Mus musculus: one gene and its partners. The protein of the gene in region 1 interacts with the protein of each later gene in a pairwise test. Links are inferred from orthologs where the notes say so. Each region holds a gene or a part of one and is shown in the gene's direction. Other genes may lie near its edges. The genes, in order: Otx1, Comp, Adamtsl4, Rgs20, Chic2, Tns2 and Rgs17.

Region 1 (2,512 bases):
TAGATCCTACTTATTTAACATGAGTTTATTCTCTTGGAAAAAGTGACCCCTGGTCCTGTTTCTGTCCACCTCTGCTCTATTAACTGCCTCTCAGTTAGGGAGCGTGTGGGTTTAGGGAGATGAGAAGGAAAGGGTGGCTTTGTTTTTAACCGCATGAGAGGTACAGAGGGTGAAGGCCCTAAGGTTCTAGACTGGGGCCTTTAGTAGAATAAGTACACTTTGTTCCACCTGTGGCCAGGGGAGTTTTCGTTTGCTCGGAGCTCGGCCCTTTCTTTCTATGGCGGGGGTTCTGAACCTACCAGAAGACTTACTTGTGGCCTCTAGCACCAGTCCTTGTGGTCCACCGCTGACTCCAGGCGCTCTCGCATGTCCCCTCAGCCACCCCGCGGAAGCAGCGACGGGAGCGCACCACCTTCACGCGCTCACAGCTGGACGTGCTCGAGGCGCTGTTCGCAAAGACTCGCTACCCAGACATCTTCATGCGCGAGGAGGTGGCACTCAAGATCAACCTGCCAGAGTCCAGAGTCCAGGTGCGCGCTCCTGGGGCTCTAGGGGTAGGGTAGGGACGCAGGAACCGGTCTGGAAAGATCTGGCCTAGGCTGTCTGATGTTGGGGCCCTCTCACTGACTGCACAGCCCCTCTCCAACTCCCCCTAGCGCTGGGCGTAAGTCTGATAAAAGGGGTAACATTAAAAGGAATGGCTTAGAGCCCAGTATCTATTCCTTATCGCCTGGGCGCTTTCAATATTGAAAGTCGTTTTGTTTTTGGTTTGGGGGAGGCCAGCCATGTTCCCCGGATGTAACTTTCTCTGAAAGTTCGATAAGGGTCTGCTTCTTTGGCTACTACAGAACTGAGGCCTTAGCTCTGAGGCCTTTCTTTCACACCCTTGCCATTCGTCCCGGGGATTCTAAAAGTGCAAGATGGAACTTGGCCACAGCCTAGTGCTCTCTGCCTGGGAATGCGTTCCGCCGGCAGTTTCTGTCTGGTTAGGGAGTTTTCTGCAGCCGAATGGACGTCGAGTGCAAAATCCAGATGCTTGCTTTTCTATTTCTGAGATGAAACGTTCAGAAAAATCGAGTTCTGACTTAGTTTAATTCTTTCTTTACGGTCTTTCGTTTAAACTTCTTTCCCGAAGGCTCGAGAAGGGTCTGGGAATGCAATGCACTGTGCCCGGACTTTCTCCTAGGAATGCGAGTTTATGACTTGCCATTCCATTTGGTATCCCACCTGGAGCCAAAAGGCCCAAGGAAATCTCACCTTTTCCTTCTCGAAAAGCCCCAATACTGGAGTGCTGTTTCCGTCCAGCCTCTAGCTTTGCTTCTGTTCCCACCCAAATATTCGCCCTGACCAACTCCAGTCTCCAGGAGCCGACTCGGTGAAACCCCTCGGGCCCCAGGCTTGGTGGCTGACCTACACTTCGATGTTCTGTATCTCTCTGCTGTTTCCTGAGCTCTGTTCAAGGAAAACAGGGCCTCCAAAGTAAAACGGGGCTGCGGGGAAGCAGCCAACCGCAACAGCTTAGAGATGGCTGAACTTCTGGCTGGACAGACACAAATGTTCCGCCCTCGGGCAGAGTTGCGCTGGGCTTGGGGAGGTGCGCATCCCTCCAGCAGAGGAGGCTTACTAGGGGTTTGCGCAGAAGGATGGGGGAGGGAGCCAGAGCTGGGGACCTAGCACGTGCGGGGGAGGGGACAGGGTCTGGCAGGGCCGGGGACTGGGAGGGGTAGAGGCTGGGATTGAGAGCTTCCCGAGATCCTGGGCGGGGTATGAGTCCGAGGGGCGGAGGAGTAGCTCCACTAGCCAGCCCCCTGATCCCCTCTCCTTCACCCTGCTCACTGTAGGTTTGGTTCAAGAACCGCCGCGCCAAGTGCCGCCAGCAGCAGCAGAGCGGGAATGGAACGAAAACCCGGCCGGTCAAGAAGAAGTCGTCTCCAGTACGCGAGAGCTCGGGTTCAGAGAGCAGCGGCCAGTTCACGCCGCCCGCCGTATCTAGCTCTGCTTCTTCGTCTAGCTCAGCGTCCAGTGCCTCCGCCAACCCCGCGGCTGCTGCGGCCGCGGGCCTGGGTGGGAACCCAGTGGCAGCAGCGTCCTCTCTGAGCACGCCTACTGCTTCGTCCATCTGGAGCCCGGCCTCCATCTCGCCGGGCTCAGCGCCGACATCCGTATCGGTGCCAGAGCCACTGGCCGCTCCGAGCAACGCCTCGTGCATGCAGCGCTCGGTAGCCGCAGGTGCGGCCACTGCCGCAGCCTCCTACCCTATGTCCTATGGCCAGGGCGGAAGCTATGGTCAGGGATACCCCGCGCCCTCCTCTTCTTACTTTGGCGGTGTAGACTGCAGCTCCTACCTAGCGCCCATGCACTCTCATCACCACCCGCACCAGCTTAGCCCCATGGCACCCTCCTCCATGGCTGGCCATCATCACCATCACCCTCATGCGCACCACCCACTGAGCCAATCTTCAGGCCACCACCACCACCATCACCACCACCACCACCACCAAGGTTATGGAGG
Region 2 (3,328 bases), on another chromosome or scaffold:
GTCAGCAGTTAGCATAGGTGGAGGGGGGTGCTGAGCTGAGCCCTACCTTCTTTCAGGGGATGGCGTGGGTGACGCGTGTCAGGGTGACTTCGATGCTGACAAGGTTATAGACAAGATCGATGTGTGCCCCGAGAACGCCGAGGTCACCCTCACCGACTTCAGGGCCTTCCAGACGGTTGTGTTGGACCCCGAGGGTGATGCGCAGATCGATCCCAACTGGGTGGTGCTCAATCAGGTGTGGCTAGGGCTGGGGTAGCGGTCTAGGGGGGGCCCAGGTGCCGCCTCAGCAAGACCTCCACCACTCGGCGCTGGCCTGAGCCCCTTGTTCTTCTGACCTCACCAGGGAATGGAGATCGTTCAGACCATGAACAGTGACCCTGGCCTGGCTGTGGGTGAGGCGGGGCAGGGCTATGGGGCGTGATCACGGAGGGCTTGGCCACTCTAATCATGGGAAGAGTAGGGCTAAGGGGGTTAGGACAAATGGCAGTTTGTATTGAGTGGTCATAGGTGGGTGGGTCATAGGCCATGGAGAGACGGGGCTGGTTGGTCAGGATCTAGGAAGGGCTGGGTGGGGCCTTTGGGGCATTGCTGTGGGACGTGTGACCCCTGAGAGCTAGGGATTGGAAGTGTCTGAGGATGTGGCCAATGCTATGTTGGGGTGTGGCCTTGTTTGGAGAAGCAGGTCTTGTTTGGAGGGTCAGGGCCTGACTCTGAGGTGTCCAGAGCAAGCATGCTTCTGGAGACCCCCTTCCTCTCCCCTCCTACAGGTTACACAGCCTTCAACGGCGTGGACTTCGAGGGCACATTCCATGTAAACACCGCCACTGATGATGACTATGCTGGTTTCATCTTCGGCTACCAAGACAGCTCCAGTTTCTACGTAGTCATGTGGAAACAGATGGAGCAGACGTACTGGCAGGCCAATCCCTTCCGGGCTGTGGCTGAGCCAGGGATTCAGCTCAAGGTGCTGGCTGGGCTGTGCCCACACACATTATATACTCCTCAGCCTTCACCGCCAATGCCTTCGTAGCCCTCCAGCATTGTCCCATGCCCCTCAAAGTTGTCACCACTCCTCATTCTCGTGCCCAGCCCCCACCCTCCCACCACCATTGCCACGGGGTTAAATCCTCTCAGACCCATAAATACCTTCTCTGGAGGGTCAGAGAAGACACTGCCTTGTTACAGTGCTTGGGGCACACTCAAGGGAACTGGAGTTTGGACCCCCCTGAACCCACCTAAATGCTGGGTATGGATGGTGATCCACCTGTAATTCCAGCCTTGAAAGGTAGAAACAGGATCCCTAGATATACTAGCCACACTGGGAAACCCCAGGCCTTATGGAACAGGATAGAAAAGCTACTTAAGGATGACTCCGACAGCTTCTGCCCTTCGTGCACATGTGCATGCACCCACACAGGTTCAGAAACGTGCATACTCAGAGAGAAAAAAATTGAAGATAGACCCTGTCTCAAAAAAAAAAAAAAAAAAAAGAAAAGAAAAAAGAAAAGAAAAGAAAAGAAAAAAAAAGGGGGGGGGAACTACTCCTTGGGATCATCACATGTCCCTTTGGGCTCCCAAGCCTGTCACAGAGCCCTAGATTTCCCTGGACACCCCAGATCCTCCTATAAACACCTCACAACAGGTCCCCAGGTCTGTAGACCCCAGTTTATCCCAGCAGGCTGCTGCCTCCTAATAAGGAGCCAGGCCCTCTAGATCCCCTAAGGTATCCCTGTATTTGTATTTCCAGAATTCACACAGACTCCTGGCTCCACTACCCACAGTGGTCCAGCCAAGAGCTCTCACTTGCCCTCTTGAAGCAAGGACCTTCCCTATACTCCAACCACTCATAACTCCCACCTGATCTACCAGACAGGGCTCTGATCTGTTTCCTCTCCTGCCTGTGGCAGGCTGTCAAGTCCTCTACAGGTCCCGGGGAACAGCTCCGAAACGCACTGTGGCACACGGGGGACACAGCATCCCAGGTGCGGCTGCTGTGGAAGGATCCTCGAAACGTGGGCTGGAAGGATAAAACATCCTACCGCTGGTTCCTGCAGCACCGGCCTCAAGTTGGCTACATCAGGTGGGCACGGCCCTGCTGCTGCTGAGCTGTGCTTTGCTGCTGCTCCAGGAGAAACGGGCTCCGTTTACAGTACATCATGGTCTTACGGGGAGATGCCAGAACCCCAATACCTCCTATGTACAGGGCACCTGACATACATTCTCACAGAGGGAAACTGAGGCAGGGGCCCCAACACCAGCCCTTATTTTGAGTGGGAACTAAAGATGAAGGGGGTGGCAAGCAGGGAACCCAACCTCAATAGTCCTTTATCACAGGGTGCGGTTCTATGAGGGTCCTGAGCTAGTAGCTGACAGCAATGTGGTGTTGGACACGGCCATGCGTGGTGGCCGCCTGGGTGTCTTCTGCTTCTCCCAAGAGAACATCATCTGGGCTAACCTGCGCTACCGTTGCAATGGTGAGCGAGGGGCCAGCAGGCTGGACCCAAAAGGCTCCAGAAACCTCTCTCACCTGTTGCCTTCCAATCTGCAGATACAATCCCTGAGGACTACGAGAGTCACCGGCTGCAGAGAGTCTAGGGACCAGTGGGGTCCCGCTGCCTGATGGACTGTGGTGGCACAAGCTACGGGTGTGTGTGTGGGGGGGTCTGGCATCCCTCTGAAGGGGTGTCTGGCCTGGGGAGGAGAGGCAAATAAAGTACGTATGTGGGGGACTGGCTGGCTTTGGTCGCTGCTAAAGGGGCACTTTGTGGAGGGGCCTCCAGGAGGCCCTAGGGTCTGTACTCTAGTCACTGAGACTGTCAGGGGCATGCAATTCACTACAGGTGGTGACAGCCCTGGAATATTCTAAGGTAAGAGCAGATGGCTGCCTCCAAGTTTGAGGAACCCCAGTCACTGAATGGCTCAGTGGAAGGTGTTCAAGGGGCTCACACCTATGTGGGGCTCAGCCACAGGAAGATGAGGTAACCTGGAGGGAGATTGGAAAAAGAGGAAGAGGCCCAGACGAAAACATTGGGTTTTTATTACATTTCATTACAAAGGGCGCAAAAATACAAAGAAGCGTCTGCGCCAGAAGGTGGGGCGGGCGGCCGTGCGTGCCCTGAGCAACCTGACCCCCAACTGCGGTGCCCATGCGCACGATCCACAGACATCCGCAGCGGAGTGCGCATGCCGGGGGCAGAGCCAGCCTGGGCACGGGGAGGGGAATGTGGAACCAGCCATTTGCATATATCAAAGGGGCACCCCAGCCCATGGCGTCCTTTTTCCAACTAAGGGGTGAGATGGGGCCTGAGAAACAGGAGCCTGGCCTCTG
Region 3 (4,595 bases), on another chromosome or scaffold:
GTTAAAATCTGGATCATCCCAATACTGTATCCCAGACTCAGGCTAAGCAAGAGAAGTTCAAATTTGGGGTCAGCTTGGCTCCATAGCAAGTTTCCTGTCAATCGGCCCTACCGTGGCAGGACCTTGTCTAAATAACAAATAATATCTTTCTGCCTTGATCAGTGCTGGGAACGGCTGGGGACAGAACCCAGAGCATCCTGCATGCAAAGCTCTGCTTCAGCGCATTATTACACCCCCAGACATAGGGCTGTTTTATATACACACCCACTGCCTTGGGATAGACCCTGCTTCCACAGTTAACATGTCAGCTCCAAAGTGATCATTTCTCACTGGCAGGATCTGTTCAAACTAGACTTGGAGACTTAAGGACTTAAACTAGCTTCTGTGCCCTCAGCACAAAGTGTAACATATAGCCAAGAAACTAGGAAACATTAGCCGGGGGCACCAGGGCCCTCTGTTGTTTTATGGGTTGCAAGACAATATGTTGCTACAACTTCTGTATTTGAGTGTCTTGACATTGGTGGTGAGCCTGGCCTTCAATGGCTGAGCCATCTCTCTAACCTTGCTCTGGTATTTCATTGTTGAAACTAGGGTGGTCTCACTCTGTAGCCCAGCTTGCCCTAGAACTTGCTGGATTTCCCAGGCTGGTCTTGAACCAGTGGTTCCCCTCTCTTGCCTCAGCCTCCCAAGTGCTAAACATGCACTACCATTCCCTATATATTCTCCCCCACCCCCACCCCCCGCCCAGCCTCAGCTGGAATTCACCCTGAAGACCAGTCTAGTATCGAACAACCTATACGTTTTTGTTTTTCAAAGAAGTTACGAGGTTGGACAGGCAAGGCATAGGCAGGCCTTTAATCCCAACACTGCAGTAAGCAATAGCAGGTGGATCTCCATGAGTTGAAGGCTGGCCTGGTCTACACAGTTCAAGCCAGACAGGGCTACCGAGACCCTGCCTCAAAGACAAACAACAAACCAACAATCCATTAAAAGACATATGAATAGAATAAAAAGCATAAAAACTGAAAGCTGTTTTCATCCCTTCCCCACCCCTCCTCAGTCATTCTTCCACATGGAGATGGATAAACATTTCCAAGCCTAATATACACATCAAATTCTCCCATTCTACAGAGGACACTGCCGCATTGAAGTTGAAGTGCTCATGAAAGACCACAGAGCTGGCAAGTGCTCAAGCTGAAATTCAAATCCAAATTGTCTGACTCATAATTCAGCGTGCATTCCTCCCGCTAAGCTCCAGGGTGTAAAATTTTATGGATGAAGAAACCGAGGCTCAGAGAGGTCCCTGGCCATCAGAGCCACATGGTTCACTGCCCAGTATGGGAAAAGCGGAGGCGATGGCATTGGCTGCATGGAGGAGAGGGCCTTGGCTTGAGCAGATCTGAGTTTGCTCAGGGCTACATGGGTCTAGTTTGCAAATCCCCTTGCTGGTTCGGGGCTAGCCCAGGTTCTTCGAGGACAGGCTCCAACCAAAAGGAGCCTGCCAGAGTTGGTGGGGTCTCGAGCCCCGGGGCGGGCGCGGGAACCGTGTCCACAGCGTGGCTGCAAGCTCTTTAGCTGTACGGGGCACCCGGGGTGGGTGGTTGAGTCCGGCGCGTGGCGGGCGGGGCACGGGTGGCGTGGGGCGGAGCCTGCCGCGGGCGGCGCTGTCCTGGGGCTCCGGGCCGCGGTGGCCACTACCAGAGGCAGCTGGAGAGAGCGGGCGCAGAGAAGGTAGAACCTCCCCGACCCCCCGCCTGGGCTCTGACTGTCTCAGAACAGCGGACCCTAAGGCGAATTCCTGGGGAGGGGGTCTGGTCCCTGGGACTCCGAGTCCCATCACCCGGGCGAGGGCTTGTGCCAAGATTCCTATTAAGTCACATAGTGAAGTTGGAAAACATACCCAGGACCTCCCTGCACGCCGGCACAGCCGGCTCTTCCCTGAGGGGCTTCGGGAAGATGCGACCAGACGCCTGTACTCTGGGAACGCAGGGATAGGGTGTCCGGGAGGGATGCGGGTGAGTGCTCTTTGCACAACTCAATCTGTTGTGAGAGGTTGAGGGAAAAGACACCTGTTGGGATGTTTGGGGGGGGGGGGATGCCGTGAAAACCCTGGCATTCTGACAGGACAGCATCTCTCCTCTGCTAGCCCAGCCCTTACTAACCCTCCCTCCACCCGTCCACTCTGCATTGGCTCATTTGCCTGAAGTGAGCCTGGGGTGAAGGGGTTAGCACCCTGCAAGTCACTTTCCTTGGTGTCACTGGCCCACAAGGGGGTGTGACCAGGAGCAGCATAGGTTTGTGCTCAGCCAGGGTCCACCGTGACTTCAGGATGCCCACTTCCAACCTCATTTTCCTCACCCTGGGCGTGGAGAAAGGACAAACATACATTTGTGCGGGGGGGGGGGGGGGTGTCGGCTCCTGCTCCCCTATGCAGGGGAGGGTGGGGTGGACTTTTCCAGAGAGGGAGCCAGGCCTGGCCCTAGCCCCAGGAGTTCTCGTCACCCCCCACCCCTCACTTCTCCAGAGAGCTGCCAAAACCAGCTCAGGACAGGATTATGTGTACTGGGTAGACCACGGAGAGGCATCAGGGACAGACTGGAGGAGCAGAGAGGCGCAGAGGGAGGTGGAGAGGGGACCAGCATCAGACAGGTTGTGTCCATCACACACACCCCCCATCCTTCCAGCCTCACTGGGCAGGCAGAGGGCTGATGAGTGGGTTGAACAGGGCCACTCGTCCATCAGGGAAGTCGTAGATTCAGTGGCTGGCTCAACTGAAGAAGGACGTGGTGCCTTTTACCTCCTCCCTAGCTCCAAGAACTCAGCTCAGCCCATTTGGTCTCCTCCTCAAATTCCCAAGCCCTGGGGTCCCAGGGAGGGGGAGCAGGACCTAGCTTTGCCCCCCTCTCTGTCCTTTGCATGCCCTGATCTGGCCTACTTTGGCCAGCGATCCTTGGATTCTTCTCATGGTGCCATTCAAAGGCAGCAGAAACAGTGTTTTTCCTGGAAAGCAGAACTTAGATGGGATGAGGATGTGGGTAGGCGGGGCCTCAAAGAGAAGGCAGGGAATGGAGGATGGGGGTAGGGAGAGACAAGATTTGAGGACAGGTATGAAGACCCCTGCTACCCAGTGTTTACAGCTAGACTTAAGGGTGGACTTTCCAGGGATACGGGAGGGAGAACCTGGCAAGCATGGGCTGCTATGGCTACATCTCTCCTTCTTAGGTGTCCCAGTTTGGCTGAGCATTGTAAGGAAAAAAAAAAAAGCAGAAAACTAGTTGTACATGAGCTAAGTCACCCTGAGCCAGTGCCTTGTGGATGCTGGCACTCATGGGGAGGATAAGTCACTGCCTCTTCTCAGGAGATGAAGCCATTAACCCACTTAGTTTATCCCTTGGACAAAAAAAAATGCCCGGGGCAGCCTGTATGAGCCTTGTCCTCCGTAAGGAGCTTAGTTAAAAGGAAAAGAAACAAATGCTCTTGGGTTCTGTGAGCGGGAGGAGGTTGGTTTTCCTTTTTTTGTTGTTTGTTTGTTTGTTTTGTGATAGAGGTCCCATATCACCCAAGCTGAACCCCTTGAACTCCATCCCAACTGTGGAATTAAGGCTTGTGACCCCACCCCTGGTGCCCGGAGGCCTCTGGCTGGCCCCTCATGGGTGACTGGCATAGCCTGCCTCCTCTAGGCCCTAGAGCTCTAGGAGAAAGAAGCTCTGGCCCAAGCTGCCTATGCACAACCCCTACCCCCACCCACATCAGCCTCCAAAGGAGCTAAGTCCATCTTGGGCCATAGGGAGGAGACTAAACTGAACTAAGAGGCTGAGGTCAGACCCCCCACCCTCTAGCAGATGACAAAGACAACGTCCCTTCTTGCTCCCACCCTTAGGTCCTAAAGGGGTGGACCATTCCTCCCCCACCCCTCCAGGCTGTTGGTGTTGTGCTGAGACAGCCCTTCAGTCCCCCCAGATAGCTGGAGGGGTAACGCCATGCTCCTCCCTCCTCAGAGCACCCTCCAAGCCCCGATGCCAGAGTAGCCACCCTGTCCCCTGCTCCCCAGCCCAGGGGCAGTCACAGGAAGAGCAATGGAATCTTGGCTGGGCAGGTAAGAAAGAGGGGTAGCAGTGGAAAGGACCAGCTCTGTCTCCATTAGGGCAGGGAAGGGGCAGAGGGTAGCGGTGCACACCTGTAACTCAAGCAGAGGCAGGTGGATGCCTGTGAGTTTGAGGGCAACCTGGCCTACAGAGTGAGTTCCAGGACATTCAGAACTCAGAACTGTTACACAGAGAAACCCTGTCTCAACACACACACACACACACACAAACACACACACACACACACACACACACACACACACACACACGACACACGAGAGAGAGAGAGGGGGGGGGGGGGACACACACGCACACAGGAAGGGACTGTGAACTGTTGGAAGGGGTCTGGCAAGTGACAAGGGACGTCTGCTTCCTGAGAAGCTGGGTGGGGGCAGGCAATGTCGTAACACCTCTGGCTCCCTCTGATGTCCCCCACCCCTCGGTGTGCAGGCTCTGGCTGTGTATGATGCTGCTCCTGCCTCTCCCTCAGCCCTGCCAGGATCAGGAGGT
Region 4 (4,292 bases), on another chromosome or scaffold:
TCTCAGCCAAGCTCCTGGCCTACTGCCTGGCTCTCTCCAGAGCCCCACCGCCTCCTGTTCCTACTTGTGGCCTCAATGGCACTGCCAGGACGACGTCCGAGGGGTCGTCTACTGAAGCTGGCAAGTCCGAATTCGGAGCCCAGAGGAGAGGACGCCTGTACTGAAAAGAGTTCACCCGAGTCCGTGAGTACTGGGAACTCCACTAAACCCACCCTCGGCTTCTGGAGGCCCCAGCCTTTCCCACTCGCTCTAATCCTGATTGACCCAGCCCACCCGGGCTGGCCTGGATACTGAAAGATTGGCACAGCGCTGGGCACACTGGAGGAAAGGGCACCTGAGGCTCCCGGACACTCCCACCTCCACCGAGGCATTAGAGCTACTTTCTCCCAAGCGATCTGTTCTGTTTCTACCATCCTAGGAAGCAAGAGGAAGCCCTCTGACGCCTCCGAAGATCTTTTCCAACTGTAGTTGCAGCTTCCCCTCGAGCCTCCCCAAGCATCCCCGCACTTTGTAACCGCTCGCAGCCGCGTTCATGCCCCCACTCCTCTTCCCAGGAAGAGGGAGGAAATGACGTGATGTTATTTTTGTGTCAGGTCACTTTGCTGCTTGAGTTTAGCCCTCCGAGCTCAGGCGCACTGCCCCAGGGGTTCACTTCAAGGGTTACTTCGCTAGCTGCGGCGACCCGGGCGAGGGGCATCCTCAGAGGTAGGCGCCAGGTTCTGCAAATGCCCGGGGCTTCCCCTCCCACCGCCTGAGTCGCAAAAGAAAGGGAGACTGCCGAGGGACTGAGAGAGACCGGAGTCCCGGCTTAGGCTTTCTTACATACACTCCACCCTGCCATCCCAATCGCCAGGTGGGGCCATCCGACTCTGGCTGGCTGGCCGGAACTGAGTAGGACCACTGTTTAGAGTGGGAGAACAGATCTCTTAGAAAGGCTATACAAAGAGAGTTGGGGGCGGATGTTAGTGGCGCTGAGGTCAAAGGGTTCAGTGGGGATTGTCCAGCAGGGGCGGGCAGTTCACAGGCGCGAGACCCGGGGTACAAAGCACCAGCTCCTCTCGCGACCTTTCCCCGTACCCCCAAGCATCTCTTCATTCACAAGGCCCCAGTACTCATTCACAAACTCTGGATCGCCCCCACCCCACGGCGTCCCCCGCAAGCTAAGGCCAGGGGATAAAGAGAAAGGGCCTTACAGGCACCCTCAAAGCTCGCTCCCGCCGCACCCATTATTTCGTTGCGATTATAAGAGAGGAGCCAGGACCGGGGCTCCGCTCGCCCGATTTGGGACTAGGGAGTACCCCCAGCCTCCGAGTGCTGCGTGCTGCCGCCAGAAGGAGGCGAGCCAGGGGATTGCCCTGCCCCAGGAAAGCGAGCGAGCGCCGGGGCGGAGAGGAGTCAGAGAAGGGAAAGGAGGAGGAAGAGAGAAGAGCTCCGGAGCTTAGACCCAGAAACGCAGGAAAGGGCGGGTGGCAGAGAGCCAGCGCGGGCGGAGTAGGAACCGCTCTGACTAGTGTAAGAAAACTAAGGCACACTCTGGACGCATGCGCACGGCCAACGGAGGCCCGAGGGCCAGAGCTTCCCCTTCGGCTAGCCCAGCGGACCCTGGCCTGGTAAGTACCTGGCGTCCTCCTCGTCTTCCTCTCTGACTCCCTGCCCCCCCCCCCCCCCGAAGCCCTGGACCTGGCAGTAGAAGGAGCTCGAGGAACCTGGGACGCCAGTCTCTCCTTGCCCGGTGGTGCAATCCCTGGCTGGTCATCGCCCTTAGGGTTAGTCAGTTGAGGCGAGTGGGTTGTGAGTTCGGAACATCTCATTGTCTGAGGGAAGGCTCCGAACCATTGTGATCGGTTATTATCAGACCCACCAAGCAGGTGGTCCGGACTCTGAGACTCAGCGAGGGACGAAAAATGCCATTAAGGTCTAAAGTGCACATCAGACATGCCAAGCATTTGGGAGAGCCCAAGCGAGTGGAAGAGTCTCGGCTCTCTCTCAGTTGGGGGAAGGATGCGCCTCGGTCTGAGGACCCGGGGCGGGCAATTTGAGCGCAGGTTGAGGAGGTGACACTCCCGGAACGCACTACCTCCCTTTCAGAGAAGCGCATCACAGGCCGGCTGGCGGAGCTGAGCTTCAAGTAGGCGCTCAGACCGCGCCCGGAGCGCTGCGGGCAGCAACACCAGACAACTGAGTAGACCGAACAGTCACTTAAGGGAGAGAGGGTGGGGATTGTCCTTATCGGGCCTGGGAGCTAGATTTCCCACACTCGGGGGGCTCGGGAGGTTGGAACCCGAGGACGTGCCGAGGCTGCAGCGACTGAAGGTTCGGGTAGGAAGCAGAGAGGCTGCGCGGAGGTGAGCGATGGGGAGTCGGGTCTTTGTATGATGGTGCCCTCAGACTTGGGGAAACTGGGCTGGCAAGGAGCCTAAAGGGAGACAGCTCCCTGGGACAAGGGTGTGCTCTTTCGGAGATCTGTGGCTAACCCCACCTACTGCTTCAGGGGAGTGGGTAAGGGAGAGGCCTCGGAAGCGGCACACGCGGGGGTGGGGTGGGTGTTTGGGGAGACGTTTCAATGCGCTGAAGGATTTCCACACTTAGGGAGTGGGCGACCGAAGGTGGGCGTTGGGGAGGGTACAGGCGCTGCGACCGCGCAGGTCTGAAGGTGTGAAGGTGGAGCGCGGGAGAGGTGGGCTCTCTGGGGCTGGGCTGGGTCAGGATCTTCCTCGAGTCCATAAGCAGCAAGCAAAACCTGGGCAAGAAGAGCTAGCTAGCCACACTCACACAACTGCTGATGGACGTGGGGCTAAAGCGGGCAAGGGGGTTCTGGCCATAGCAACTGCTGCCTCTGCGCCCTCAGGTGGAGAACAGAGCCACAGCGTGAAGAAAGTGGTGGTGCAGGAGGGTTTCTGTCCTGAGAGTGCTGGAAAGGAAATCCTCTCCAGAGACTGTGTTCTAGGCCACCCTCTTGTGGGTTTCCAAGACTTCACAGCCAGATAGCTGGCTGAATGGCCTTGGCGCCCACTCGCCACTGCAGGTTAATACAGCACAATTTCTGGGCTCGTGCTATGTAAAAACTAGTCAAATCGTTGAACAGACAGACGGCTCATGGGTTAAACGAATGTACTCTCAACAACCTGTAGCCTTAGTTCTAGGGGATCCAGTCTCCTCTTCTTGCTTCAGCAGGCACTTGGCATACTTGTAGTGTTCCCACATATATGCAGGCACTCATGCATAGATATAAAATTTGTAAATAAAAAATCTGTTCCTACTGTTATTATATTGATGCAACATGGGCCTAGTGGAGTTCAAAATCTAAAGACATTATGAACATATAAGTATGGATGCATCACTAGCCCCAGCTCTCCCAAGGCTAGGGAAGGAAAATATAGAACTTGAGATCAAGTGAGCTACATATTGTCATTCTTTCTCAAAAAAAAAAAAGGAATATAAAGATCAATAGCATGATGCCTGTTTTCATATGCTATAAACAATATGTTTACACACTAAAAAGGGTTTTGGTATCAAAAGCATGAAGCAGTAAATGTTTTCTCTCAATTCCTAAATTTAAATACAATTCATTTCTCTATCCCTGGACCCTTTGTGGATAAATAAGAGATATTTGCATATAAGCATCTAACATAATTTGAAGAGAACTTTTCTCTTTAAAAAGAGTTGGATTTGGTGAGATGTTACAACAGGTAAAGCACTTAGTGTGCAAGCCTGAGGACCTAAATTTAAATCCAGGCACCCAAAAGCACATGTAAATGTGGAAGGAAAGAACTGACTGCACAAACCTGTCCTCTGACCTCCTTGTGAACCATGTCTTCACCACCCCTCCAATACACCACACACAAAAACAACCAAGCAAACAAACAAGATCCCAATAGTAATGATTAAGTGCTTTAAAGAGTTGGGTTTATGGGGGCTAGATATATATTTCAGTTGATAGAGCACTTGTCTAAATGCACAAAGCCCCAGGTTCCAGCCCCAGCGCTGTGTAAACTTCTGTTGTGTCCATGAAGGTAATCCCAACACACAAGAGGATCGGAAGCTCAAGCCATTCTCCCTCACATAGCAAATTCAGAGCCAGGCTAGGCTACATGAGACCTTGTCTCAGACAATCAGGAAAAGAGTTCCTTTTGTTGACCAAATATACATTTAAAGAATTACACATTAAATCATGGCATTTATAAAATAGCCAATATAAATACTGAAGTGAGGTATTTGATCTTTTATTTAAGAAACATTTTGAAGAATACTAAACAATTCACCCCAAAAGCTATCTATCATATAAAATATAG
Region 5 (4,558 bases), on another chromosome or scaffold:
CAAGGGATAGGTACTATTATATCTATTTTATTTTAGAGACAAGGCTCTATTATAGCTCAAACTGGCTATATAGAGTGATGTTCAATGCCTAATTTTCCTGTCTCCATCTCCCACCTGCTAGGGTTTTATAGATGTGTGCTACCACGCCGCACTTTTGTCTTCCTGTGACAGGTCAAAGACCAAGAGGTTAAAGGACTTGGCCAGGGTCCCATAGGAAATGATAGAGGGCGATTCAAAGTCAGCCTTCAGAACTACCAAGTTAAGCTGCCTCCTGTGTGTATGCTCCATTGGAGCCTTTGACATACCCTCTGACTCCCACCCCCCTAGAGAATTATGGTTGCTTGCCTTAATGACAGAAAAGTTACTGCCAGAGACTGTAACATACATAGTCGCGCGTGCACGCGCACAGACACACACACACACACACACACACACACACACACACACACAGCTGACCACACAGTAGGTTCAGTGTTTATTGAATGAATAAATCTGGGAAAGCATAAGTCTGACGCATCGACTATTTTTCCCTGCCTAGCTCACTGCCCTTTTTTTTTTCCCCAGATCTTTCCAGGATTAAGTTGTCCAGCATTTTCCACTCTCATGTTAACCTTTGTACGTTTTCTGCTTGGACAAAGACCCGTAAACGAACTTGAAGGATGCGAACACTGCGTAGAGAACTGTTTGTGGACACTGGGTCCAGTACAACTCCTCTTTCCTTTCCAGACCAATGAGGAACTCTTGTTACCCCATGGTCCAGTTTGCCGTAGGAGTCCAGTTCTGTTCCTATGTTGTTTGGATGCTTGGCAGACTCTTGATTGTGAAACCAGGTCCAAGGTGATCCATGAGTCCACTGTTCCTCCCTTCCCCCATCCCCTCTTGTGGAGAAAACATTTTTCACTAGAGAGACGAAGCATACAACTGCAACTTCTTAATTGGAACACAGAGAACTTGTCAACTTTGTTAGGTAGTATTGATGGTGAGATTTCTTGTTAACAAACAAACAAACAAACAAACAACCTGGGCTAAAAGGACAGAATATTTGGCTTTGGAGATATTTTGGAAAATCAGGTAGGACAGTAGACAGGAAAGCACTGTTTGCCGGGCAGTGGTGGTGCACGCCTTTAATCCCAACACTTGGGAGGCAGAGGCAGGGGGATTTCTGAATTCGAGGCCAGCCTGGTCTACAGAATGAGTTCCAGGACAGCCAGGGCTACACAGAGAAACCCTGTCTCGAAAAACCAAACCAAACCAAACCAAACCAAACCAAACCAAACCAAACCAAACCAAACCAAACCAAACCAAACCAAACCAAACCAAACCAAACCAAACAACAACAACAAAAAAAAAGAGAATGCACTGCTTTGTTAATCTCAAGTTGGCAAAGTCAACCAACTCTGCTTCGCATCGTGGACTAAAAACGTTTTATTAAACCGGCAGTCAGATTCTCTGGTCCGGCCAGGGGCTTCGCCCGCTGTCGTTGTTTGGGCTACAGATTACTCCAGCCTGGCTCTAGGAGTCGAGTCGGGGTCAGCGCCCCCGATCCTCACAGACGCCGCCTTCCGGGTCGCTGACCCTGGAGCCGGAGGGCGGGGCCGCGCCGGGTGGAAGCGGAGGAAGAGGCCGGCGTCCCGGGAGCGCGCGAGACCGTCCGCGTGAACGCGCCCGCCCGCCCACCCGCGCGCCCGCGCCCACGCCCGCGCCCGCCCGCGCTCCCGGGAAGTCTCGCGATGCGGTAGCCGGCTGCTCCTGCTGCGGGTGGCTCGGGCTGTTGCTGTGGTTGCCGGAGTTGCGGCGGCGACGGCGGCGGCGCTGGCGCGGGCGGCGGCGCTGGCGGGGGTGGCGGCCCCGGCGGATGTTGACATTGTGTTGTTGTTCCTGCCCACGGTAATGGCGGCGGTGGCGGCGGCAACGGCGGCGGCCGGGACCAGGTCTCCTCAGTAGCCGGAGCCCACACTGCCGAGCGCCAGCTCCGCGGCCTCCGCGCCCGCCGCCTCACCAGCCGTTCCCCGCGGCCGCCCCAGAGCCAGGGCCCCGGGCGGGGGGCTCGCCGGCTCGGGATGGCGGATTTCGATGAAATCTACGAGGAGGAGGAGGACGAGGAGCGGGCCCTGGAGGAGCAGCTGCTCAAGTACTCGCCCGACCCGGTGGTGGTCCGCGGCTCCGGTCACGTCACCGTGTAAGGCCCTGCGAGGGCTAGGACGAGGACGGGTGGCGAGGCGCGGGCGGGGTGGGCCCTGGGACCCCTGGGGGTCCTCCTTTTCTTAAACCCCCGTCCCCGGTGACTGGCGCGGGACGGGGGCCTTGGGGGAAGCTCCGGCGATCAGGAAGTGAGAACTTGCTCTGCTTCCATTTGTTTAGGACTCCCAAGTGGGGACAGACACTGCCTCCCCTCCCTCCCACAGCCCCGGAGCAGGCCCCGTGGCCCGCGGGGATGTGTGGGGTCCCAGCCGGGAAGATGGCTCTTTAGGGTCTGCCTGATGGGCCATCGGTACAGGCTAGAGGTGCACACACTCACACACACACACACACACACACACACACATCTTGTGGGATCCATCTTTGTAACACCCCCCACACCCCCGTTATTCTTTGGGACTCTGCCTGACTTACAGCCTATTGACATATGGCTCAGAGGTCAGATCTGAGGTGTTAAGATCCCAGTGGCAGTTGGTAAATGAGATTCACTGTCGTGTGTCTATCACACATAACACGTAGGGGCTTCCCAGTTCCTCAAGAGTAAATTTCTGCAAAACTGATTCGAGTTGCTGTCAATTATGTATGATAGAAGTATACAGGTGGACGGAAAAAAAGAGGAGGATACATCTGTTTACAAGGAATTACAAGTACCGAGTTTCCTGTAATCCGGTCTGTTTTGGGACACGGACCTAGGTTGGCTTCTTTGATAAGGGCCCCTGTAAGGTTTATTAGCAACATCAAAAGTCCCAATATTATTCAAACAATAAGGGATGAAAGCATTCTGAAAGGTCGTGACTAATAAAGGAATGTAGACTTGGGGCAAATAATGAGTTGTCCGGAAGAAGGAAGTTTTGTAACATTTCCCTGATAAAATCCGGAGTTTGTACAACTTAGGGTATTGATACTCCTTTGCAGCTGCTATCTCCAGTTGAAAAGTCATCGCTCAAACTTCCTGTACTTGCATATCACTTTATCACTGATAGAAAAAGGCAGCGAGCCTGAAGCTGTCTGGAGCGCTTGTCATTGTTTTTTGGTGTAGGGTGAGTGGGGCGTGCTGTGGGCAAGGCGGTCAAACAGTGAGGCTCCTCAGAAGATCGGCCCTTGTGTAGTCATCCTGACTAGCCTTGTTGTTGTTGTTGGGGTGTGCTTATGTAACACCTTGGTGTCTTCGCACCTGTTAACGTGTGCATTTAGGTGATTTAACAGGGTAAAAACACTGCATAAGCATTGTTTCAGTACCTGGATAAGGAGATGGGACTTCGCACCATAATAACTGCTCTGTTTTAACTGTCAACACAAACTTAATTAAGGAATATAGCTAATTATGAATAATACAGTTTAAATGTATATCATAATGCTTTTAGTGTTATAACCTGCTATTTAATTTTTAGTTTAACTCTTAGGACTTTTTTCTTTTTCTTTTGAACTTAAGGACTATGGGTGCTTTTAAAAGCAATTACAAACAAACAAAAAACCGACACAGTGATAGTCCCAGTACTCAGGAGGCAGAGGCAGGTGGATCTGTGAGTTGCAGACTCCCCTGGTCTTCAGGGCTACATAAAGGATTTCTGAACTTTTTCATGTTGTCTGTGGTCATCCTTAAACTCCTCCTGTCAAATCAAAGCTGGCAGAAATTTATTTGCAGAGGTTCAGCTAGGGCTGGAGATGTAGCTCAGTGTTAGAGTGCTTGTCCTGGGTTCAGAGTAACCAAATAAGGTTCAAGTGCAGTTGTCATGTCTCTTCTGTTCAAGAAGAAGAAAAGCTAAACATGTTGTTGGGAAATAGAATAGTCAAAGTGCTCAGATAGAAAGTTGGATTGTAGTTGACTATTTGGAGTGGTTAACAAGTGTGTGAAGTAATTATTAGTGGTCTTTTCATCTTGTCTTTCAGAATCACCTGGCTTGTGCTCAGGAACTACTAGCCTTTATTATTATAAGCATTAGAAATAAAGTACTTCCATTTGCAGGACTAACAGTCATTTAGTCTAGTTTATCTGCCCATTAAGATCATGTGGGGAGCATCCGCTGGTGTTCCAGCCCTCTTTTTCCAGGCCAGTGGCCACATATGAGTGGAGCTCTTGTTCATGAATAGGCTTGGATGGGGTTGGAGGAAGGTCTTGGAGGTGGTTTTGATTGTACCTCGGAATCTGCTGCAGACACTAGTGATGGTGGTGTTTGCCACCTTTGCAGGAAGCCTTAGTATGTTTGTGACCTCCCTTAGACACTTCTGATAGGTAGTAACCTTCCTCTGCCACTTTTATATAAATCAATCACTTGTGTCTCCTCAGTTCACAGGATGACAGCTTTAGTTCATACCTTTCCAGATTAAGGGGTGAGATAATGTATACAGAGAATACGTG
Region 6 (4,246 bases), on another chromosome or scaffold:
GCCAGGGGCCCTCTCCAGTTACAGCACGGTGCCCCACCCCTTGCCACTCACAGGGCCTTCTAGCCAGGGTACACTGGCAACGATGGGCTTCCTAGAGAACAGGCATGCAGCGGGAAGAGGCCTCAGACTCTTCAGTCTGACAGGTCTTCTGAAGGATCCCTGGGGAGGACTAGAGCAGCCCTTCATCTGTCAGATGGGCGTGAGGCAGAAAGAGGAGAGTCCTGTGGGACCCTGCAAGAGGTGCCAGAACTGGAGGAGTTGCACTGGGACATTCAGTAAATACCATGCAAATGAGGGTGACACGGTGTACATTCTTTCAAATGACAGCTAGCTACAGCATTCCAAAGGCTGCTGTCTAGAGCTTGGGCTGGGAACCCCCAGGCTGTTGACCCTTGTTGTAGGAAGGTTGTTCCATCCTTTCCAAGGGCCCCATACACCTCCTTCCCTTGACTCCTGGGACAGGAAGTTGGCCCTATTCCCAGGAGGGAAGCAGGAGGCCCTAGAGAGGGTGGAGTATGTGTTGGGAGGGGGCCTCCTGTCCAGTCCTCGGGTCCAGTGACAGCCACAGAGGAAGGAGAGACAGGCCAGAAGAGCCATGAAGGTAGCGCTCAGATTCTGGTGGGCGGGTGGGGTCCCCAGTAGAACCTCAGGTGCAGGATCTGGGAGCTAAGCCAGGAACTGTGGGTTGTATCTGGAGAGGAGCAGCTGGGGTGTTCAGGAGGAACCTCCAGTGCTTTGGGTTACAGCAAGATGGACCATTCCTGTAAGCCCTTAGCCCTTCCCGCTGGAACTTGGCGTTGAGGAGGGTACTATAAGATCCTTCTCCCGTCTGACAGGGAAGTTAGCCCTCATCCCTAACTTTCTTTCACCCTGAGGATGTGGAGTGCTGGGCTGTCAGGGGTACTGGTTCCCAGCAACACTCCCTTCCCACAGGAAATCCCAAGGGAGCATGAGGGTTCAGGCTAGAGACTGGCCGGGGACACAGTGTTCTCCACTGGCCCTTGAGCCCTGCCCTGAGACCTGAATTCCCACCCTGTGCCACTGGCTGATTCCAGGGCTGGATCTCAGGACTGCAGACCCCCTGCACACAGTGGCCCACTGGGTGGGAGGCAGCTCCAGAGATGGGGAGAGCCAGAGATCTTAGGCTGACACTCCCAGCAGGGTAGATCCTGGGAATCTGATCTCCTGGCCTCCCCCACATCCTCCCCCACCCCACTTCCTGGAGCAGCGACCTGCCCCCTTCCCGCCTGCACTTCCCTCCACTTCCAGGGCCAGGCTTCTCCACACACCAGCCAGACAGCCTCCCCTCCACCCAAGGGAAGCGGCTGCCTCGGCAGGCTGCTTCCAGGAAGCCCCAGGCCAGGCCCCAGCATTGTTCAGGCCCTGCAGCCAAGAGTCCAGCCAGCCAGACACCATGAAGTCCAGCGGCCCTGTGGAAAGGTTGCTCAGAGCCCTGGGGAGGAGGGACAGCAGCCGGGCCACCAGCAGGGTAGGAGTGCCCACCAGCTGGGCAAAGGTGGGGCAGGGTGGAGGTGCGGACAAGGCGGGAGGGCCAGGATTCAGGCCAGACCAGACCCTCTTCCTAGTTTCAGCCTCTTCTCCTGGCTGGCTCAGCATCCCCCTCCTCTTTCTTTCGCCTGACCCCCTGAGGTGGCTAGGGTAGGGTAGCAGTGTGATTCTAGCATCTGTTTTGACTTCTCTGTGTATTTCCTGGCTTGAGCCTGGATAGGCCCCGAGGGTTCAGCTAAGAGCTCAAGCCCTGACCTCCGGGGGAAGCTTGAGGGAAAAGGTATGGGAAGAAGGCAATGAGGGAAGGGAGGGTGCCTTCTACTGACGTCATCTGCACACGACGTCATCATCCACAAGTGCGTCCAAGTGTCCTGGTGGGTCTCGCCCCCAGTCGTTAAGGGACCAACGCTGCTCCCATGTTATTCTCCTCTTCACACTACGGTGGGCAGATCCAGGGAGAGGAGGGGACAGCGGGAGCTTGAACACACAGCGGTGAAGAATGTGCAGTGGAGTGGTGGGAGGAGTGAGGGAGATTGTCCACAGACTCTAGATAGGAGGGATGAACTGGGGTGGGAGGGGTCAGAACTGCAGTGAAAACTTGCAGTGAGTAGGGACTAAGGGGGACCTGGACAACTGGTGGCAGCCCAGCCAGCCACTGACCTCACTACCTCTGGGTGGGGAGGGGGCATCCGGAGAACCTGGCCACCCCTGTCATAACATGCAGAGGCAGCGAGGCAGCTGCCTGTGTGTCCCCACTGCTATTCCTCCTTCCGAGCGAACGTCTTAGACAATTGCTGCCTGCCGCCTCAGTGCACAGAGAGTAAACATGTTGTTCTGACCGTGGGGGAGGGGGTCATATTAGCTGCCTGGAGCTTGGGGACACTGAGAGCCAGGGGCTCAGAACTGGCTGCAGTCAGTCTGGGTATTATGTGATAGTGCTTGTGTGTCCTGGCCGTCAGCTCACAGTATACAAGCCTCTTGTGGGGAGGGCAAGATGGGAGGAGAGTCAGACCCCCCACTCTGCCAAGATTCAGAAAGCCCTCACATTGGAAGTGGGGGTGTGTGTGACAAGGACATCACATAGCTCCGCCACGTGAGAAGTCCTGAGTGAACCCTTAGGGAGGAGTTGACCCAGCCAAGGTGACGCAAGGGGTCACATTCCAAGCCCTGTAGAGGACAGGCCTCATGACTACCCTGAAACAGCTGTGGCCAAGTGTGCCTTAGAGTTCACAGACTTTTGGCTGGAAGAGAGGGAAGCAGCATCGCTCTAAGGAAAGGTCCCTGCCCAGCCTTGGAGATGAGCCCACTAGGAACACATACCCCTATTTGTCTGTCATCCCACCCGCAGCCGAGGAAAGCAGAACCACACAGCTTCCGGGAGAAGGTTTTCCGGAAGAAAACTCCAGTGTGTGCAGTGTGTAAGGTGACCATCGATGGGACCGGTGTCTCCTGCCGAGGTGAGGTGGTGCTCTTGGTGCCTGAGCCCTCCAGGCAGCACTTCTGTGTGGCTCAGGCTCTAGAGACAGGCAAATTCAGAAACAAATGCCCTCACTCTTCTTGACACCCACCTTGCCACAGCCCAGGAGATTTGTGACTCTACCACCTTCCCATCCTTACCTGTGACTAGGGTCTTCCCTTCCTCTTGCTCCTCCTCCTCTTCTTCTTCCTCCTCCTCTTTTTCTTCTTCCTCCTCTTCTTTTTCCTCCTTTTTCCTTTTCCTCCTCCTTTTCCTCTTCTTCCTCTTCCTCTTCCTTCTCTTTTTCCTCTTCTTCCTCCTCTTTTTCCTCTTCTTCCTCCTCCTCTTTTTCCTCTTCTGCCTCCTCCTCTTTTTCCTCTTCCTCCCCTTTCTCTTCCTCCTCATCTTCCTGTTCCTCTTCTTCTTCCTCATCCTTTTCTTCTTCCTCCTCTTCTTCCTCCTACTGTTCTTCCTCCTCTTCCTCTTTCCCCTCCTCACCTCTATTCATCCTAGACCCCAACCCCCGGCCCTCTTCCCTTACTCCAGAGCAGAACCTGTTGATAACCAGCTCTGTTCTTCAACTCCTAGTAACCTAGTGTACCAGGGTCCCAGAGCTGGCTTCTAAGGCCTGTGGGGCTGGAGCACAGTTATTTTGACTATTCCCGTAAGCCTCTGCTAACCTCTACCCTTTCTCTCTCTAGTCTGCAAGGTGGCCACACACAGAAAATGTGAAGCAAAGGTGAGTATGTGGTTCTATCTAATGGGGAGATGGTGTCTTTCCCTGTCCAGACAGGCATCTTCAGCCTCACTGGCATGGGCCACCATGTCACCCTGTCCCCTGTCACTCACTCCTGGACACCCCTTCCTGGGTGGCAGGGGTGTTGTGTTGGGCTCTTTAAGAAACACCCTACTCCACCCCTGGAGGGTTGGCCCAGGAGGGTGGACAGTGAGACAGCGTTTGTCTTGGTGCTGTGCCCAGGCTGCAGCTGGCGAGAGGATGAGGGGGGGTGGCTGCGGGGGGAGGAAGGGCGGGGTGGATAGAGAGGGAGCAAGATTTCAGAGACCAGGCACCCTGATGGGAGGTGCCTTCCCTCTGAGGAAAGGGTCCTCAGGATGCCTGCGTTGGTCTCATCCTGGGTAGTGAAAGCTGAGCCTGTTCAGGTATAATACCCTGTAGCTGGTACCCGCTGTCCACTGAGAACCTAAGGTAGCCCTGCATCTCTGAGGAACGTTCCTGGTGCTCCATCAGTGCAGGGGGTAGTCCCAGGGCCTCAAGCTAGC
Region 7 (4,260 bases), on another chromosome or scaffold:
TATTAATTGAAAGTTGTGGGGCTTTCTCAGGTGGGCTGGAATGCCAACAGTATTTGCACACTGGAGGACCCCTGGCAGGGGAGTGTCATGACATCTACAAACAATCAGTTCTAATTAGCTGTCAGGGAAGAGCCTAGTCGTTCCCGCGGGAACTCTCTCATCTCCACAGATGTGAAATCTAAAGAGAAAGATATCTGCTTTCCTCGCTCCCCCTCAGAAACACTTCAGCCTAACCACAGGAGGCACAATCTAGTACTTGGCATGCAATAAGCATCTAGGCTCCTTCACCACCAAGCTGCGCTCTGCTGGTGAGCAGAAAGATTGACAATTCCTGTGACTGCCAAGTGGTCCAATAAGGACGCTTTAGGCCCCAGGTTTCCAAACCGGGCTAAGAGTTCTTCTTTTTTTTTTAATTAGATATTTCCTTTATTAACATTTCAAATGCTATCCCGAAAGGTCCCTATACCCTCCCCCCCGACCCCCGCCCTGCTCCCCTACCCACTCACTCCCACTTCTTGGCCCTGGCGTTCCCCTGTAGTACTGGGGCATATAAAGTTTGCAAGACCAAGGGCAGGCTAAGAGTTCTTGACCCCTGCTCTGCCTTAGGTTTCTCTCGCTGAAAACCCCAGCTCCAGTGGCCCAGAGGGTACACATATCTAAGACCAGAGAGCGCCTGGAGGGATTCCTGGGTATTTCTGGGTAAGCCATCAATAACGCAGAGTCTAGAACTTACTTAACTTTACCTTCTCTTGAATCCCCCAGGCAAGAGGGTTGAAGCAAGCCCGAGGCTAAGGGAGCCTGAGTGCCTGAGAGGCTTGCAAGCATGGTCCCAGGGACTAGGTGAACATACATGGGCTTTGGGTAAAAGTGAACTGGGGGGTGGGGGAGGAGGTTCCTTCCCACAAAGTGTGTTCTCTCCAAGAAGCACCCCTGACCCCGACCCTCAACGCAGAACCTCCCCCACTGCTGTCGCCAGAGCCGCCTGGGCACAGAGACACTGACACTGTGAGCTCTGTCGCCGGGCGGGCACGCCGGGAAGGGACGCGACAGTGACTCACGCATCCGAGCGCCCGCGGGAGGGGAGGACGCCTCACCTCCGGCTGCGCGGGGCGAGGGGCTGCGCCTGTCTCCCGGACGCATGCGCTGCAAGCTGCTCCGCTCCCTCCCCGCCCACCCCAGCCTCCTCCCTCTCTGCTCTATCCTGGCCTCTCTCCCTCTCTCCGTCGCCGGGTGCTGAAGTTGGGCGGATGGCACGGAGCCTGCTCCGCTAGAGGACGGAGCAGCCCACTCTCGAGCACCCTCGGACCCGGACCCCGGAGCTCTCGCCCACATCTAAGTCTACCCGGTAAGACGCGACCTCTGAATCCCGGAGAGGATAAAAAAAAATAAAAATAATAACATGAAAATGTCTGCTTTGCACTGATGGGTGGGCTTGATTTTTTTTTTCTCTTCTTTTGCTCCCCCACCCCCACGGCGAGGGGGAGGTAGGATAGAGAGGGCGGAGGGGGCGCCCGCTGCCTGTGCCCTGGCTGATAAAGCAGTGGGGCGCGCGGGTCTCGGCGGGCAGCACCGCCCCGCGGCTCCGTGAAGTTGAATCCCGCGTGGTCCGCTTCAGGGCCCGGTCCACTCGCGTCCCCGGGCTCTGTGGAGGGACTGAACCGCTCTCCTGCGGGTCACGGCTTCGGGTGTCCCTGCTTCTGCGGGGAGAAATCTCAGCACCTTCGGGGACCTGGAGGAGGTGAGAGGGTGCTGCGGTGGCGGGTGGGGGAGCGCTCAGGGGTTCGGGGTCCCCAGGCTTTTCATAGCTGTTTGGTTAGTAGAGAATCGATGGTGAAAATAAATCGAGATGGTCTCAGCCGCGGACTGCCTCGATGGTCTCATTTCTCCCTTTATTTTTTGGTGCCTTTAGGGAAAATAAAGATTCAGGTGCAGGTGATGTCTTTACAAATACCTTGAGCAGCTGCTGTGTGTGTGCGCGCGCGCGCGTACGTGTGTGTGTGTGTGTGTGTGTGTGTGTGTGTGTGTGTGTGTGTGTGTGTGTGGTGCAGAGGTGAGAGTCTCTTTTGTTTCTCCCCCACCCCCTTTAGTCCAGAGAAAGCGAGTTCTTGTGTACTCTGCACCTGGTCTGTTTTACAGCAACCAAGGGGGTGAGGACCAGGAACGCCTACCAGCCCCCAGGCGCTGCCCCGCTTGGGTGCATTACAGACTCCCTTGCTGTGAGATCTGGCTCTCCTGATTATGGACGGATCACAGCTTCTAGCTGTCTCCTCGCTAGCCTGCCTCCTTCTCTCTTTTCTCTGGCTGCCGCAGAGGCTGGGTGCAGACACACTTTCCTGTTGTTTCCTCTTCATCCTACCTCTGTGTCTTAATGGAAAATGTCGGAGGACCTGAGGATGGCGGAAGGACAGAGCAGTGAGCAGTGGGTGGGGACCTGCTCCCGGCCAGCAGGAGACTGCTTGCTGTGCGTCTCAGGCAGTCCTTGCAGCTCACTCAGAAAACAGACTGAGCAGGGGTCACCTGGTCTAAAGGATGCTAGCGCAAGACCACCCTGTGTTCTCTTCCTCCACTGAGAGATGAGAATGCTCGCTCACTTGGGAGATCCTGGTCACCCAGGAACCCTGCCCCTGGCTCTGGGCATAGAGTTTCCAACACGCCCCACTCCCTACAGACCCTTCAGTAAATTCATCTTTCTAAGTCTTGTCTGAAGAACTTTGCAAGCTTTTAGCTGTCTCTTTCTGTCTTTTAGGGGGGAGGAGGGTGTTACAGCTGGATTCTGTCCATCATGGGTTGGCTATCACAGATAAAAAGAAACCTCAGTTGATAAACACTTCTGAGACTGGATTCTATCTGCATTTCCGGCACTCAGACACACTGGTTTTCAGGGTGTTGAACCTTTCTGCAAACCATTTAATTGACAAAATGAGAAATAAATTTTACTCCTACAGTGAAGACGATGTTTCTCTCATAGGTTCAGAGCTGCTAGATGCTGTATGTATTAAAGAATTTGCAAACTGCAAAGCTCTTCAGTTCCTCGTATGCATGTCTGAAGTCTGTCGTAGTAACAGCAGGTGTATACAACGCGTGCACTCTAACCGGGATAACTAACCAAAGGGTAATTCAGACTCACCAAGACACACAACTGGGAGGTTTGATCTTCTCTTAAGTTACTATTATGAAGCCATTTCTTCTGTTAGCATGAACTAAACCAGGAATTAGCCCATCCCTGACGACATAAATTTATTTAATTTTAAGGTCTGTATTTAAGGCCCGCAGATCAGGTTCATTGGGGGTTTTGGAGCTAAGAAAACAAGTGTTCATTATTACAGGAAAAGATCGGGAGTCACTTTGTTAAGCGAGATGCCTCTCCTTAGTGATAACTGAGCCCAGATCCCAGCAGCCTTCTTAACTCTGCGAAATTGTCTCTGGAAGATAAAGAAATGCACTCACTTTAAAACCAGCAGTGCAAAGTGTTCATTTTGCCCATTTCTACTATTTTCTTGTTGTGGTGCCTCAACTTCTCCTTGGGCTAGTCCCTACTTTGGGGTCTGTGCTCATTTCTACAGCAAATAAATGGCCTTCCCTTCTTGTATTTGGAGGACCATCCTATCAGGATTTAGTTCATTTAAGCTCATAATGTTAATGTTCTAAATCCACCTTCATTCCCAAGGACTTCTTATACTTTTTCATAATAAATCTCATTAGAATTTCGTACCCCAGAGCTAGACACTTTGAAAACAAAACAAAACAAAACAAAGCAAAAATCGGCTCTTATTTATTTAGCCTTATTATACAGCTGAATAAAAATGGATGATCTCCATCCTAGTTGGTGAGCATTCCGCTGCCACACCCAGGGAAGAGAGTCAGGAAGAACCGAGGTGTGAATGCTCTGCTGGGAAGGTAGTGGGTCCCACATTCCAAGTCCATTTGCTGAACTGCATGGTCCTCCCTGGAAAAGTGGTCACCAGCAGAGAAGGGCGGAGCTAAGAGGGATAGGAATCCATTTCTGCAGGAGATTCTTCCGATACCCTAGTTCTGTCTATAGATCAATGAAGATACTTCATTCTTCAGGAGAAGGAATGAGAGGACCAATGAATTTGTCTCCTGATTACTACAGAGCATACTGTGGGGTTTTATGGAGAGTTTAAAACAAATATGTCATTTCCTCTAATGGGACATTTCCTGTGAGATTGATGGATACACTCTCCATATTTCCTACATCCCCTCACCTCAAAATTATCCTCTAAAGACACTTTTGTAACT

Evidence for each region.
Region 2: the proteins of Otx1 (region 1) and Comp interact in binary tests that used the Homo sapiens proteins (3 or more experiments, as listed by UniProt). The two-hybrid records come from large-scale screens. The link is inferred for Mus musculus from reciprocal best matches to the Homo sapiens genes OTX1 and COMP.
Region 3: the proteins of Otx1 (region 1) and Adamtsl4 interact in binary tests that used the Homo sapiens proteins (3 or more experiments, as listed by UniProt). The two-hybrid records come from large-scale screens. The link is inferred for Mus musculus from reciprocal best matches to the Homo sapiens genes OTX1 and ADAMTSL4.
Region 4: the proteins of Otx1 (region 1) and Rgs20 interact in binary tests that used the Homo sapiens proteins (3 or more experiments, as listed by UniProt). The two-hybrid records come from large-scale screens. The link is inferred for Mus musculus from reciprocal best matches to the Homo sapiens genes OTX1 and RGS20.
Region 5: the proteins of Otx1 (region 1) and Chic2 interact in binary tests that used the Homo sapiens proteins (3 or more experiments, as listed by UniProt). The two-hybrid records come from large-scale screens. The link is inferred for Mus musculus from reciprocal best matches to the Homo sapiens genes OTX1 and CHIC2.
Region 6: the proteins of Otx1 (region 1) and Tns2 interact in binary tests that used the Homo sapiens proteins (3 or more experiments, as listed by UniProt). The two-hybrid records come from large-scale screens. The link is inferred for Mus musculus from reciprocal best matches to the Homo sapiens genes OTX1 and TNS2.
Region 7: the proteins of Otx1 (region 1) and Rgs17 interact in binary tests that used the Homo sapiens proteins (3 or more experiments, as listed by UniProt). The two-hybrid records come from large-scale screens. The link is inferred for Mus musculus from reciprocal best matches to the Homo sapiens genes OTX1 and RGS17.

The regions. Positions count from the first base shown.
Region 1 is NC_000077.6:21,996,388-21,998,899, reverse strand, and holds part of Otx1 (homeobox protein OTX1), read left to right. Parts: intron 1-311; exon of another isoform or gene 312-378; coding exon 379-530; intron 531-1,841; coding exon 1,842-2,512. UniProt on the Homo sapiens protein: Probably plays a role in the development of the brain and the sense organs. Can bind to the BCD target sequence (BTS): 5'-TCTAATCCC-3'.
Region 2 is NC_000074.6:70,379,338-70,382,665, forward strand, and holds the end of Comp (cartilage oligomeric matrix protein precursor), read left to right. Parts: intron 1-56; coding exon 57-235; intron 236-343; coding exon 344-392; intron 393-767; coding exon 768-964; intron 965-1,907; coding exon 1,908-2,080; intron 2,081-2,334; coding exon 2,335-2,474; intron 2,475-2,548; coding exon 2,549-2,595; 3' UTR 2,596-2,729; downstream 2,730-3,328. UniProt on the Homo sapiens protein: Plays a role in the structural integrity of cartilage via its interaction with other extracellular matrix proteins such as the collagens and fibronectin.
Region 3 is NC_000069.6:95,684,957-95,689,551, reverse strand, and holds the start of Adamtsl4 (ADAMTS-like protein 4 precursor), read left to right. Parts: upstream 1-1,634; 5' UTR 1,635-1,731; intron 1,732-3,880; exon of another isoform or gene 3,881-3,998; 5' UTR 3,999-4,076; coding exon 4,077-4,096; intron 4,097-4,535; coding exon 4,536-4,593; intron 4,594-4,595. UniProt on the Homo sapiens protein: Positive regulation of apoptosis. May facilitate FBN1 microfibril biogenesis.
Region 4 is NC_000067.6:5,016,629-5,020,920, reverse strand, and holds the start of Rgs20 (regulator of G-protein signaling 20), read left to right. Parts: upstream 1-1,381; 5' UTR 1,382-1,541; coding exon 1,542-1,610; intron 1,611-2,186; exon of another isoform or gene 2,187-2,345; intron 2,346-4,292. UniProt on the Homo sapiens protein: Inhibits signal transduction by increasing the GTPase activity of G protein alpha subunits thereby driving them into their inactive GDP-bound form.
Region 5 is NC_000071.6:75,041,801-75,046,358, reverse strand, and holds the start of Chic2 (cysteine-rich hydrophobic domain-containing protein 2), read left to right. Parts: upstream 1-1,717; 5' UTR 1,718-2,060; coding exon 2,061-2,179; intron 2,180-4,558.
Region 6 is NC_000081.6:102,101,673-102,105,918, forward strand, and holds the start of Tns2 (tensin-2), read left to right. Parts: upstream 1-1,261; 5' UTR 1,262-1,414; coding exon 1,415-1,489; intron 1,490-2,857; coding exon 2,858-2,966; intron 2,967-3,666; coding exon 3,667-3,704; intron 3,705-4,246. UniProt on the Homo sapiens protein: Tyrosine-protein phosphatase which regulates cell motility, proliferation and muscle-response to insulin. Phosphatase activity is mediated by binding to phosphatidylinositol-3,4,5-triphosphate (PtdIns(3,4,5)P3) via the SH2 domain.
Region 7 is NC_000076.6:5,919,313-5,923,572, reverse strand, and holds the start of Rgs17 (regulator of G-protein signaling 17), read left to right. Parts: upstream 1-1,172; 5' UTR 1,173-1,345; exon of another isoform or gene 1,346-1,738; intron 1,739-4,260. UniProt on the Homo sapiens protein: Regulates G protein-coupled receptor signaling cascades, including signaling via muscarinic acetylcholine receptor CHRM2 and dopamine receptor DRD2.